Linked DNA regions of Ovis aries. The protein of the gene in region 1 purifies or fractionates together with the protein of each later gene. This does not show direct contact. Links are inferred from orthologs where the notes say so. Each region holds a gene or a part of one and is shown on either strand. Other genes may lie near its edges.

Region 1 (5,840 bases):
ACACACAAAGACAGACTGAGACAAACATTCAAAGGCAGGTCTGGCTCAGTCTCTGTGGGATCCCTGGGTCCTGGTGTGCTTGAGCCCTCTGAGCATCTCTGGCAGGTATGAGGTTTGATTCTAAATGTGATTTCATCCTTTCTATTCTCTTGATGTGTGTCTCCTTTGTCCTTGGACATGGGGTATCTCTTTTTAGTGGGATCCAAAATTTTCTTGTCGATGCTTGTTCAGCAGAGAGTTGCAACTTCGGAGTTCTCTCAGGAGAAGATGAGTACACGTCCTTTTCTTCAATATGACTAAATTTTTATCAATTAAGATAGAATTTAATTTCAAATCAAACCCAGGTCTCCTGCATTACAGGTGGATTCTTTGCCAGCTGAGCCACCAGGGAAGCCCAAGAATACTGGAGTGGGTAGACCTACCCTTCTTCAGCAGATCTTGCTGACCCAGGAACTGAACTGAGGTCTCCTTCACTGCAGGAAGATTCTTTATCAGCTGAGCTACCAGGGAAGCCTGTTCAATACTTAACACTCAATAAATGCTGGCAGAGCAGAAAACGGGCATTCAATAAATGCTGATTGGGATTTCCTTGGTGGTATAGTGGATAAGAATCCGCCTGCCAATGCAGGGAACTGTTCAGTCCCTGGTCTGGGACGATCCCATGTGCCTCGGAGCAACAGAGTCAGTGGGCCACAGCTACTGAAGCCGGCATGCCTAGAGTCTGTGCTTTGCCACAGGAGAAGCCACTGCCGTGAGAAGCCCATCCACCCCAACAAAAGAGTGGCCCCGCTCACCACTAGAGAAAGTCTGCATGCAGCAACAAAGATCCAGTGCAGCCAACAATAAATAAATAAATATGGAGAGGTAGAAATAACCATCTGGTAAGGATGGATGAACTGAAGATTGCTGAATACGAGTAAGGGGCCAGAATTGTGAGACAGAGGTAATAATGGAAATTATAAGAGAATGGACACTCGGAGAGAAGAGCAAAATAAGAATGATCCAGCCACCTTACTCACATGTAAATGTGTGGAACCAGTCACACATGAATACCTCCTGCTTATATCTTTTGTTTACTGAGGATTTTCTATTTAGTATGTATGTTGGTGTTTTCATATATCTGAGCATTATTTCCAGAGTTTTCTCTATCTCCGAAAATTTAAAAATTCACCATTTATTGAATTGTTCATTAACATTAGAGTATACGTTTTTGAATGCCCCTTTGTTCAGTCTATATGTATTTACATTTTTTTCTAGGTCTTAGAGGTTATAACTTTTGTGACTATGGTGACTCCTTTACGAAAAGGAGATTTTTAAACAGAATTCTGTGTATCAGAATGGGTATTCAGCAAGATAATCAGGTGTTGCAGGAATTACAAAAATGAGTATGCCGCAGTCTCTGCTTTGAGGAGATCAGGGTCCATGGGAAAGCAGAGTAGAAGAGGCCATAATATAAAGCTCAGATTTGTTCATTTGGCTTTTATTCATCAGTTATGACGTAAAGGATGGGAAGAAAATTTGACTGAGGAGACTTCATTCTTTCATTTTTTTAAATTGAGGTAAAATTCACATAACATAAATTAACCACCAACCATTCTTAAATGTACAATTTAATGGCATGCAGTACAGTTCTTCCTATTTTAAAAGAGCTCTGAAGAGAATAAAACTGGAATTTTTAATAAAAGGGAATTTTCACCTGGACAATAGCAAAGACTCCAGAGAACTGAAGTACCCCAGTCTTCAAACGCTCGACATCCCATGGTACCCAAATTCTTTCTGTTCTAAGGATGCCCAATTTCTGCTTGGTTTGCTAACAATGCTCAGCCAGCAAGCCATCTACACACTATGTGGCCTATATTTCTTGAGTAGAACGTGTATTCGGTGCTAGTATCAAGTCTGGAGTTCTCCCAGGCGAGTATTTTCTTCAGGGTCTCCTATGATTGTAAATTCCTTGTGGGCCAGTAACCTAAGTAGGTGGCTCATCACTGTATCCCTAGAGGAGAACCCAGCACATAGATTATTTTAAAAGCATTTGTGAATGATTGACTACTTACTCCTGAGATTTTTATGTTCAATTATTCCCAATCTATTGCCTCATGGTCAGTATTAACTGGGGCGCTCAGTAAAGGCTTGGGGTTGCGATTGTCCCGGAGCCCAAGGTCAAATCCTGGCCATTTTGAGCACCGATGAAGGCAACTGTTATTGAGTTGCACAGAAGGTGGCGCTGTTGCGCCTTATCGTGACTGCATTTTCACCTGGACAAGCAGGTCTTCTATACCTGACTATCTAGCAATCGCTTGAGAAGGAAATGAATAAGTTGATCAGCAACAAGTCCAGCTTTTACAATTTCGGCAGAGGTTTCCTGCTGGTTCAGGTGTGGTGAGGCCCGGAAACCTCAGTGCCCGCAGACTTTTCCTTTTGTGGGGAGCCCGCCCAAACTCCATCCTTTGCCCGCGGCCACGCCCCATGGTGGGAAGGAGGGACTGAAAAACATTTCCTTGAGGCCGGCACAACTTGCCCTACGCAAAACGAGGTTTTTTTTCCCTCTTCCCTGGCTGAGCAAGTTTCATCTGAAATACAGAGTGACCGGAGGAGGAACCGGAGGAGGGACAAGGTAGTGGAAACGGTCTGGGGGTATGACGGGTGAGAGGAGGATAGTAGTGATGCAGTCAGGGGTGGACTTCGCTGTTTGGGGAAGAAAAAGAGGGAGGCGGCCGAAAGGGGGATGGCTGTGGGTGGCTGTTTGTATTTTTTGTGAGCAAACAGCAATCACCAGGTGAATGAATCTGTATTTCTTCGGAACAGGCATCTCGCGAGTTTTAGCGTCTGTCTTTTTTTTTTTTAAGACAGAATTTTGGCAAATTTTCAGCAATTTGGGCAAGGAGAGAGGTAGCCAGAAAGCGAAGGGATGAGGGGTCTCTGTGTATTCCTGGAGAGGAGGCCATAGCGAGAGGGGAGATAGAAAGAAAAAGTCAAGTACAGAAATTACCTGTCACAGGACAGTAAGGTCTTTCAGCCCGCCTTTGGGCTCAGCTCAGCTCCTCATCTGCTGCTACGCATAATTAAGAATGGTAATTATCTCTTGGAGTTGTTGTGATATTTAAATGAGATAATATCTGTAATCACACTTAAAAACTGTATAGTGTGATATGCTATTCTTTGTTTACTGGAATTTCGGTTTTCTTCTTGTTTTCTCTTTTTCTTTGTATTGAAGTGTAGTTGATTTTAAATACTATATTAGTATCAGATGCGCAGCATAGTGATTGATTCTTTATAGTATTATTATAGGTTTCATTCACTCCATTAAAAGTTATTACAAAATAATGGCTGTAATTCCCCGTGCCGTACAATATGCTTATCTATTTTATACTGAGTAGTTTGTGTCTCTTAATCCTCTACGCCTGTCTTGCCCTTTCTCCCTTCTCTTTCCCCTCTAGTAACTACTAGTTTGTTTTCATATCTGTGGGTCTGTTTTGTTTTGCTATATACATTCATTCGTTTTATTTTTTATATTCCACAAGTAAGTGTGAATACAGTATTTGTCTGACTTATTTCACTATGCATAATATTCTCTGGGTTCATCTGTGTTGCTGCAAATGGCAGAATTTCATTCTTTTTTATGGCTGAGAACAGTTACTCAGCTATATATATATATATATATATATATATATATATACTCATGTCATGTCTTTTTTAATCCACTTATCTGTTAATTGCCACTTGGGTTGCTTCTATTGCAATATACTTTGTATATCGTACATAATGTTGCCTTGAACACTGGGTTACATGAATCTTTTCAAATTAGTGTTTTTGTGTTTCCAGATAGACACCCAGGAGTGGAACTGCTGGGTAATATGGTGGTTCTAGGGCTTGCCAGGTGGCTCAGTGGTAAAGAATCCACCTGCAAATGGAGAGGCGGGTTGGATCCCTGGATTGGGAAGATCCCCGGGAGAAAGAAATAGAAATCCACTTCAGTGTTCTTGCCTGGGAAATCCCATGGACAGAGGAGCCTGGCGGGCTGCAGTCCATGGAGTCACAAAATAGTCAGACATGACTCAGTGACTAAACAACAAGAGGGTCCTTCTGTGTTTAGTTTTTTGAGGAACATCCATATTGTTTCCATAGCAGCTACACCAATTTTTTATTCCACCAAGAGTGTACAAGAGTTCCCTTTTTTCTACATCCTTTCCAACATTTGTTATTTACAGCCATTCTGACAGGTGTGAGGTGACAGTGATTTTGATTTGCATTTTCCTGTTGATTAGTGTTGTTGGGCATCTTTTCACGTGCCTCTTAGCAATCTGTATGTCTTTGGAAAAATGTCTATTTACATCTTCTGACCATTTTTTGATTGTGTTATTTTTAAATATTGAATTGTGTGAACTGTTTGTATATTTTGAATATTAAGCCTTTGTTAATTGTATCATTTTTAGACATTTTCTTCCATTCCATACATTGTCTTTTTGTTTTTTGGTGCTTCCTTTGCTGTGCAAAAGCCTCTAAGTTTATTCCATTTGGATTTTTTGCTTTTATTTCTTTATTTCTTTTTTTGCTTTTATTTCTTTTGTCTTAGGAGAATGATCCAAGAGAATATCGTTATAATTTGTGTCAAAGACTGTTCTACCTATGTCCTCCTTTAGAAATTTTATGATTTCAGGTCTTACATTTTGATTTATTCTTGTGTAAGGAAATGTTCTGATCTCACTGCTTTATGTCGTTATTGTTATTCAGTCACTTTATGTTGTTATTCAGTGTCTGATTCTTTGTGACCCCCATGGACTGCAGCAGGCCAGGCCTCCTTGTCCCTCACTATCTCCCAAAGTTTGCCCAAGTTCATGTCCACTGAGTCAACAATACCATACTATTTTGATTACTATAGATTTGTTGTCTAGTCTAAAGTCAGGGAGAGTGATTCCTCCAGGTCTGTTCTTCTTTCTCAAGATCGGTTATTTGGGCTCTTTTGTGTTTCTATAACAATTTCTTAACTATTTGTTCTACTTCCATGAAAAATGGTTTGATGGCATCACCGATCAATGGACATGAACCTGGGCAAACTCCAGGAGATGGTGAAGGACGAGGAGGCCTGGTGTGTTGCAGTCCATGGGGTCACAAAAAGTTGGACATGACTTGGGGAACAACAGCTGTAAAAAATGCCATTGATATTTTGGCAGAGATTGCATTGAATCTGTAAATTGCCTTGGTTAGCATGGTAGTTTTAACATTATAGATTCTTCCAGTTCAGGCACACGATATAGCTTTTCATCTGTTTGTGTTATCTTCAGTTTCCTTCATCAGCATCTTATAGTTTTTGGAGTATATTTCTTTTGTCTCCTTAGACAGATTTATTCCTAAGTGTTTTTTTCTTTTTGAAATGATTATAAATGAGTTTTGATCCCCTTCCCTCTCTCTTCTCTCTCTGGAAGCCCTTTAATACAAATATTGGTGCACTTAATCTTATCCAAGAGATCTCTTAGGTTGATTTTAGTTTTTAAAATTTGCTTCTCGTTTTGCTTTTATGATCAAGTGATTTCCATTACCCTGTCTTACAGATCTCTTATGCATTCTTCTGTATCACTTAATCTGCTATTTATTCTTTCTACTGTGCTTTTTGTTATTGAATTCTCCATTTTTTAGAGTTTTAAAAAATATTTTCTAGTTAAAATTCTCACTGTGTTCATTTATTCTCTTCCCTAATTTAGTTAACATTCTTATTACTAAGGCTTTGAATTCTTTCTCTGGTAATTGTTTATTTCTGTTTTATTATATTTTTTTCAGGATGTTTTTCTTGCTGTTTCAGTTGACAGCAGTTCCTTTGCCTTTTTTTTTTTTTGGTTTAACTT
Region 2 (5,877 bases), on another chromosome or scaffold:
AACCTTCAAGATTTTGCTCTGCTGGAGCATTTCTCGGGAGATGTTCAGGGGAAGGTCTTCAGAGTCAACCACCCCACGGATGAAGTCTGAAATCAAAATATGGAAGCTGGGTTTTAAAGATACAGGAGTGGCGGGGATAAAGATAAAAGGTATATAAAGTCATCTGGATTCAACAGAAAGACTGATTTTCTCACCAAACTTTCACTTGTTAGGTTGCAGAGGATCCTTAATCTAAGATAAAGACTCCAGCCCCCGAGAACGCAGAAACGAACTACATTAGGGCAAAAAGATACTCACTGAGATATTCCGGAATCAACTCATCACAGCTGTCCATGATGAACACACGGCGGACATACAGTTTGATATTGTTCTTTTTCTTTTTGTTCTCGAAGAGGTCAAAAGGAGCCCGACGGGGGATGAACAGCAGTGCTCTGAATTCCAGCTGACCTTCTACAGAGAAGTGCTGAAAGAAATCCAAGATAAGCTGACTGTGTACTCAAGAGTGGCTTTTGGTCCCAATACCAAAATGTCCAATTATTTGAAACAAAAACTTCCTATCCCTGTAGAGAAAATTTAAGCCCTAATGCCCTAAATGAATCCAACTGCAAGCACTATATCATCTTTGGGTCAAAGACTCCAGGTGGGTAAAGCCACCAGAGACAGGTCACAGGGGAAGATGTCACTTCTCCACCCTGGAAGGGTCCATTAGCAAATCAACTCATAGCATTCACAGTTCCCAGCTACCAACCAGTTGGGTAAGTTCCATTTGTCCATATCAGCTCCTCCTACTGAGCCAACAAGCAAGACTTCTTACCTTCACTGCCAAGTGATCTTCCCAGTCATTGGTAAGACTCTTGTAGAACTCTCCATATTCCTCCTGGGTGATGTCATCAGGGTTCCTGGTCCAAATGGGCTTGGTTTTGTTCAGTTCTTCCTGATCAATGTACTTCTCCTTTATCTTCTTTGTCTTCTTTTTCTTATCCTTGCCACTATCATCCTCCTCGTCTGAGCCCACATCTTCAATCTTAGGCTTCTCTTCATCATCTTTATCTTCCTCTTCTTTCTCACCTTTCTCTTCTTCAGCCTCATCATCACTGATTTCCTTCTCACGTTCTTTCTCCAGCTAGAAGTATCAAAGATGACAGTTTCAGAGTACAAAAAAGCAAAAAAAAAACCCCAAAGTCCATGCAATTCTCTCAAGCAGCAGTTACCTGCACTTGAGTTACCAGTCCATACTCACATAAAGTGTGATGGGATAGCCTATGAACTGAGAGTGCTTCTTCACCACTTCTTTGACCCGCCTCTCTTCCAAGTATTCTGTCTGGTCTTCCTTCAGGTGGAGAATCACTTTGGTACCACGGCCAATAGGCTCACCTAGAAAAAAATTAATCAGAACAGAATATAAGAAACTAAATAAACAAACGCAGAACTATAACTGCTTTACACATACAATACTCAAGATCTTCATTAGTGTTTCCCCAGAATGCTAATCCAGACACCTTAACAGGAAAGCCAACTTACCATGGTCAGCCCGGACAGTGAAGGAACCCCCGGCAGAAGACTCCCAAGCATACTGTTCATCATCATTATGCTTTGTGATCACCACCACTTTCTCTGCCACTAGGTAGGCAGAGTAGAAGCCCACACCAAACTGCCCAATCATGGAGATGTCTGCACCAGCCTGCCAAAAAGTTTAAAAGTCAAACTCAAGTTTCAAAGAAATGGCAAAGCAAACACCAATAATATAAATGGAGTGTGCCTAACCAACCACGTACCTGAAGAGCCTCCATAAATGCTTTAGTGCCAGACTTGGCAATGGTTCCCAAATTATTTACAAGATCAGCTTTGGTCATGCCAATGCCCGTGTCTACCAGAGTCAGAGTACGCTCCTGGGGATTCGGGATGATGTCAATTTTCAGCTCTTTACCACTGTCCAATTTAGAAGGGTCTGTCAGGCTTTCATAGCGAATCTTGTCCAAGGCCTGAAAGTACAAAATTGCAGTTTTACAATTCTGCTTCCTCAAAACCCATCTCACCCAAAAAGTTTTTTAAACTCCCCAAATACGCTAATTCTGATTACTCCTTTAGCTTGTAGGTTGAGAACGACATCCAGTGGGTTACAGTATCCCATCTATCCACAGAGAGCAAGGCAATACTTTTTGGAACAGCAGTTAAGTTTATATCCCCCCTTTATCAGTTAACACCACAAAATGCCAAACCACCCCCACTTTCCCTCTCTTGGAGTACTTGAGAAACAAAAAACCAACGTCAATGAAGACATTCAGGGCACTCACATCAGAAGCATTACTGATCAACTCCCGAAGAAAAATTTCCTTGTTGGAATAGAAGGTGTTGATAATAAGAGACATGAGTTGGGCAATTTCTGCCTGGAAGGCAAATGTCTCCACCTCCTCCTCTCCATGGTGCACTTCCTCAGGCATCTAAAATAAAAAGCAAGAATTTAAGACTCCTCAAGTTCACCCTCAGCCACAATACACTTAAGGAGACTCTATTCAAACTGTTTTGAGCTGGGTACAAAGACTGGAAAATCCTTCCCTCTATCAATTTCAGGCAGCACCCTTAGAAACAACGGGGGGAGGGGCGCACCTAACACACTGAACAAATTGCGCTAATGTTTCTTGCAAGTTATTGTGAACCCAAACTCCTGTTAAGTGAATCATAGATCAGCACAATCTAGTTAGGCACTCCAACCCAGGTATCTCGAAAGCGAGGTAAATTCCCATATATTTAAATACGCAAATTACTATCGTTCCACCTTCAAAGTAATTAGTTTCACATTAAAGGGCAATCATTTAAAACTGTCCTCCCATTAGGTAACTCCAAGGAGATAATGTGGTACTGCTGCCTCCCGTAGTAGGGACAGCTAACTCGAGATTGGCGGAATGCCCATCCAGGTGGGCTATCAAGACAAAGAACCGATAAAGAAAGGGCTCCATCGTGACCTCTCTGCACACGTGACTGAAGCTCAAGCCCAAACCAAACACTAAGATGGTGGCCTTAGTCTGCGGGGCCGACTCTCGTCACGGCTGGACATGCGTCGACCACGCGAGGAGGGGGCGCCACCGCGCAGCCTCCCTTCGCCCCAACATCCGGGCACCAGGGCGGGGCGCCGGGCTCCAGAAGCTTCCAGAACAATCTCAGTTCTCGGAGAGGGGCGGGGGAAGGGACGTGCCCACGAATCCCAAAGCCTGCCCCCTCCGCTCGCCAGCCCCTCCTCCACCGAGACGCAGGAAAGATCTGGAAGGATGGAGGAAGCACGACATACGCCGCCGGCGACCGAAAACGGAGCTCTTCGCAGAGCCTCACGGAAAAGCCCCGAAAGAAAGGACTTTAAAAAAATTGTGTCCGATAGAACAAGTGGCAAAACCTGGTCATGACCAGCCTTGCTGAGTCACAGAGGGCGCGCCCACCCGCCCGGCTCGGGGACCCTCCGGCGCCCCGTAGCCGCGTCCGGAAGTGGAGAGGCAAACATGGCAGCGTCCCGGGCCGGCGCGGCCACCACGTGCAGTGCCTACCCCCCCGCCCCATTCTGCGGCCCCACGAAACAACGCTTTATAGCTGCGGGAAAGCAGCCCCGCCGCCAATCACATAGAGTCTAAACTCAAAAGCTCGCTCCCAGCCCTCCCCCAAGAGAAGCAATGGGAGCGTTACGCCAGAACCGGTCCCAACACGAGATGTAGGTCTCGGAAAGGATGCGTGGGCCGAAAGCAACGCGAAAGAACAAGCTAATCTGAAAAGCCCAGATGAGACAGGAGCCTTACCTTCAAGGATAACAATCACAGGTATTAGAGAACACCGAGCAGGCAATGGCTTCCTCGGGCTCACTCGCCACAAGAAGGCTGCGCGGGGGTGACTCGAGAGAACGGCTGTGTGCCCCCAATCACTTTATATAAGGCGAAGCACCGCCCAGCTGCCCGCCCCCGGATCCCTCCGCCTTAAAGGAGGATGCCTGTCTGCCGCGCACCTGCCGCCGCCCGCCCGCCCACCTTGACGTCACGGTCCAAAATAGGGGAGGGGACCTTGAAAGGCGGGAGCCGCCGGCCTTGAGATCAAGTACACTTATTTACTCCTGTTCACAGCCCCGTCTCCGCGTTCCTAAAACAGGACACCATCAGAAACATATGTTGGGAGTAATCATATAACATAAACGGTGGAACTAGAAGCGAGGATTCCCCACTGACCTCTGTGAAAACCTGCAGGGCAGGCATCTCCACTCCTGACAGTCCCAGCCTCGGGACTAAGGTCCAAGCCTAAACAGGGGTCACCCACTCCCCCCTACGCTCCGAGGCTCGACCTCCTCATTAGAAGCTGCCCTACACATACTCTAATTGCCTGATACGGGAAAGGGTTCTTTTCCGCGGGCGTTGCGGAATTAAAGGTCCCACTTTGTGGGCATGCCTGGAATACAGGCCCTCCCGCGGCGGGCCGGCGTTTCGCGGCGAGGCGTGGCTCCGGCTGCGGGCCGGGCGCTGGCTCCAGCCGGCCAGGGGACTCTTTGACTGCACACGCGGCGGAAGGATCCAGGGCGGCGGCGCTGCGACACTTCCAGCAGCTTCCAGACCGGCCGGGGCGGCCCTGCCCCGCCCCTTCCCTTGAGGCCCCGCCCCGCCCTCTGCGGCCTGGGCTGTGCCTCCGCGGTGGCTCCGCCCCTCAACCGCACTGCTGGGATCCTGGTGTCCAAGTAGGCTATACCTTCATTACATTTCCTCCAGGAAACTGCAGAGGGGATCCATTACCCTACCCGCCAGACCCAGCTAGCCGGGCACTGCGTCCGGGTGGGGTGGAGCGGGGATGACCCCACTTCTCCCCCCATCGATCACACAGCACACCGGCCGGTGGGGCGGCTCTGAGGGTGCCGCCTTCCGAGAGCAGACACTGGGGATGCGGTCGCTTACCCGACGGACCGCTCCCACCCCCAACCCCCAGCCGCCCACAGGTGAGGGAGCGCAGAGACTTGAATATCGAGTTGTTTCTCAGTCTGGCTTCCTTTTTCTTTTTTTTCCCCACCCTCTTCCCTCCTCCTGCAGCTGCCTAGATCTGGGAAGAGTCCGGTCTCCCAGGACTCCTGCAGGGTGGCAGGAGTTCTTGGAGGCAGCATGAGGACGCTGGTCAGAGTGTGGCCCCATCCAGGTGCCAGAAGCAAGTCGTTCCCCTTCGGCTGTGGCCCAGGAGCCTCAAGGCCATGGACCTGCCTAGGGAGTGCCAGAGGGACGCCCTTCTCTGCTGTCTCTGCCACGTTTGCGTGCTCTCCAGCTGGTGAGCTGGCCTTACTTTTCCAAGGCCTTATTTCTGAAGCCTCCTTTAACGCAGATACCCTCCAGGAGAGAATGGCCCCTCCCTACGCTGTGACCTTGTGGATGTCCAGCAACTCCCTTCGTGGCCTGCTTTGTCGGTCCCTGGCATCCTGGGGAGAGGTTCCCCCACCACCCACCCGCGGACCTCCCTCAGCAGCCTCGGTGCCCAGTCTCCTCCTTTCACATTTTCTTTGTTCATGTGTTGAGTTCCAGGGAACAAAGGACCCTTCCTTCCCTTCTCCTTGGCCCGAACTCCAGACCTCAACAGCTCCGCCCCCATTACCTCAATTTCATCTCTCCATAGGCTTCTACTTCTCTTCATTATGGTCTGGGAGAAGCCTGTGGCTGGGAGAAGTCAGTGAGTGTGGGAAGGGGCGTGGGCGCTGCTGCTAGGAGGGGCTCCCGGCTGCTCTGTTCGTGATGGAAACCTCAAACCAGGAGCATCACCCCCACCAGTGCACCTGCCCTTCCTATGCACAGAAGGGGTTAATTAAACATCTGCTCCCTGGTTCACAAGAGCATTCACAGTATTTCACAGTCCTGTGAAGGTGTGGGAGTGAGT

The links.
Region 2: the proteins of STYK1 (region 1) and HSP90AB1 purify together in Homo sapiens (affinity purification with mass spectrometry; 3 studies listed by BioGRID and IntAct, with this or other methods). This does not show direct contact. The link is inferred for Ovis aries from reciprocal best matches to the Homo sapiens genes STYK1 and HSP90AB1.

What each region holds. Positions count from the first base shown.
Region 1 is NC_056056.1:204,601,250-204,607,089, forward strand, and holds the start of STYK1 (tyrosine-protein kinase STYK1), read left to right. Parts: upstream 1-2,509; 5' UTR 2,510-2,614; intron 2,615-5,840. UniProt on the Homo sapiens protein: Probable tyrosine protein-kinase, which has strong transforming capabilities on a variety of cell lines. When overexpressed, it can also induce tumor cell invasion as well as metastasis in distant organs.
Region 2 is NC_056073.1:17,732,636-17,738,512, reverse strand, and holds the start of HSP90AB1 (heat shock protein HSP 90-beta), read right to left. Parts: upstream 3,883-5,877; 5' UTR 3,783-3,882; intron 2,442-3,782; coding exon 2,295-2,441; intron 1,983-2,294; coding exon 1,776-1,982; intron 1,682-1,775; coding exon 1,522-1,681; intron 1,375-1,521; coding exon 1,241-1,374; intron 1,124-1,240; coding exon 815-1,123; intron 464-814; coding exon 298-463; intron 87-297; coding exon 1-86. UniProt on the Homo sapiens protein: Molecular chaperone that promotes the maturation, structural maintenance and proper regulation of specific target proteins involved for instance in cell cycle control and signal transduction. Undergoes a functional cycle linked to its ATPase activity.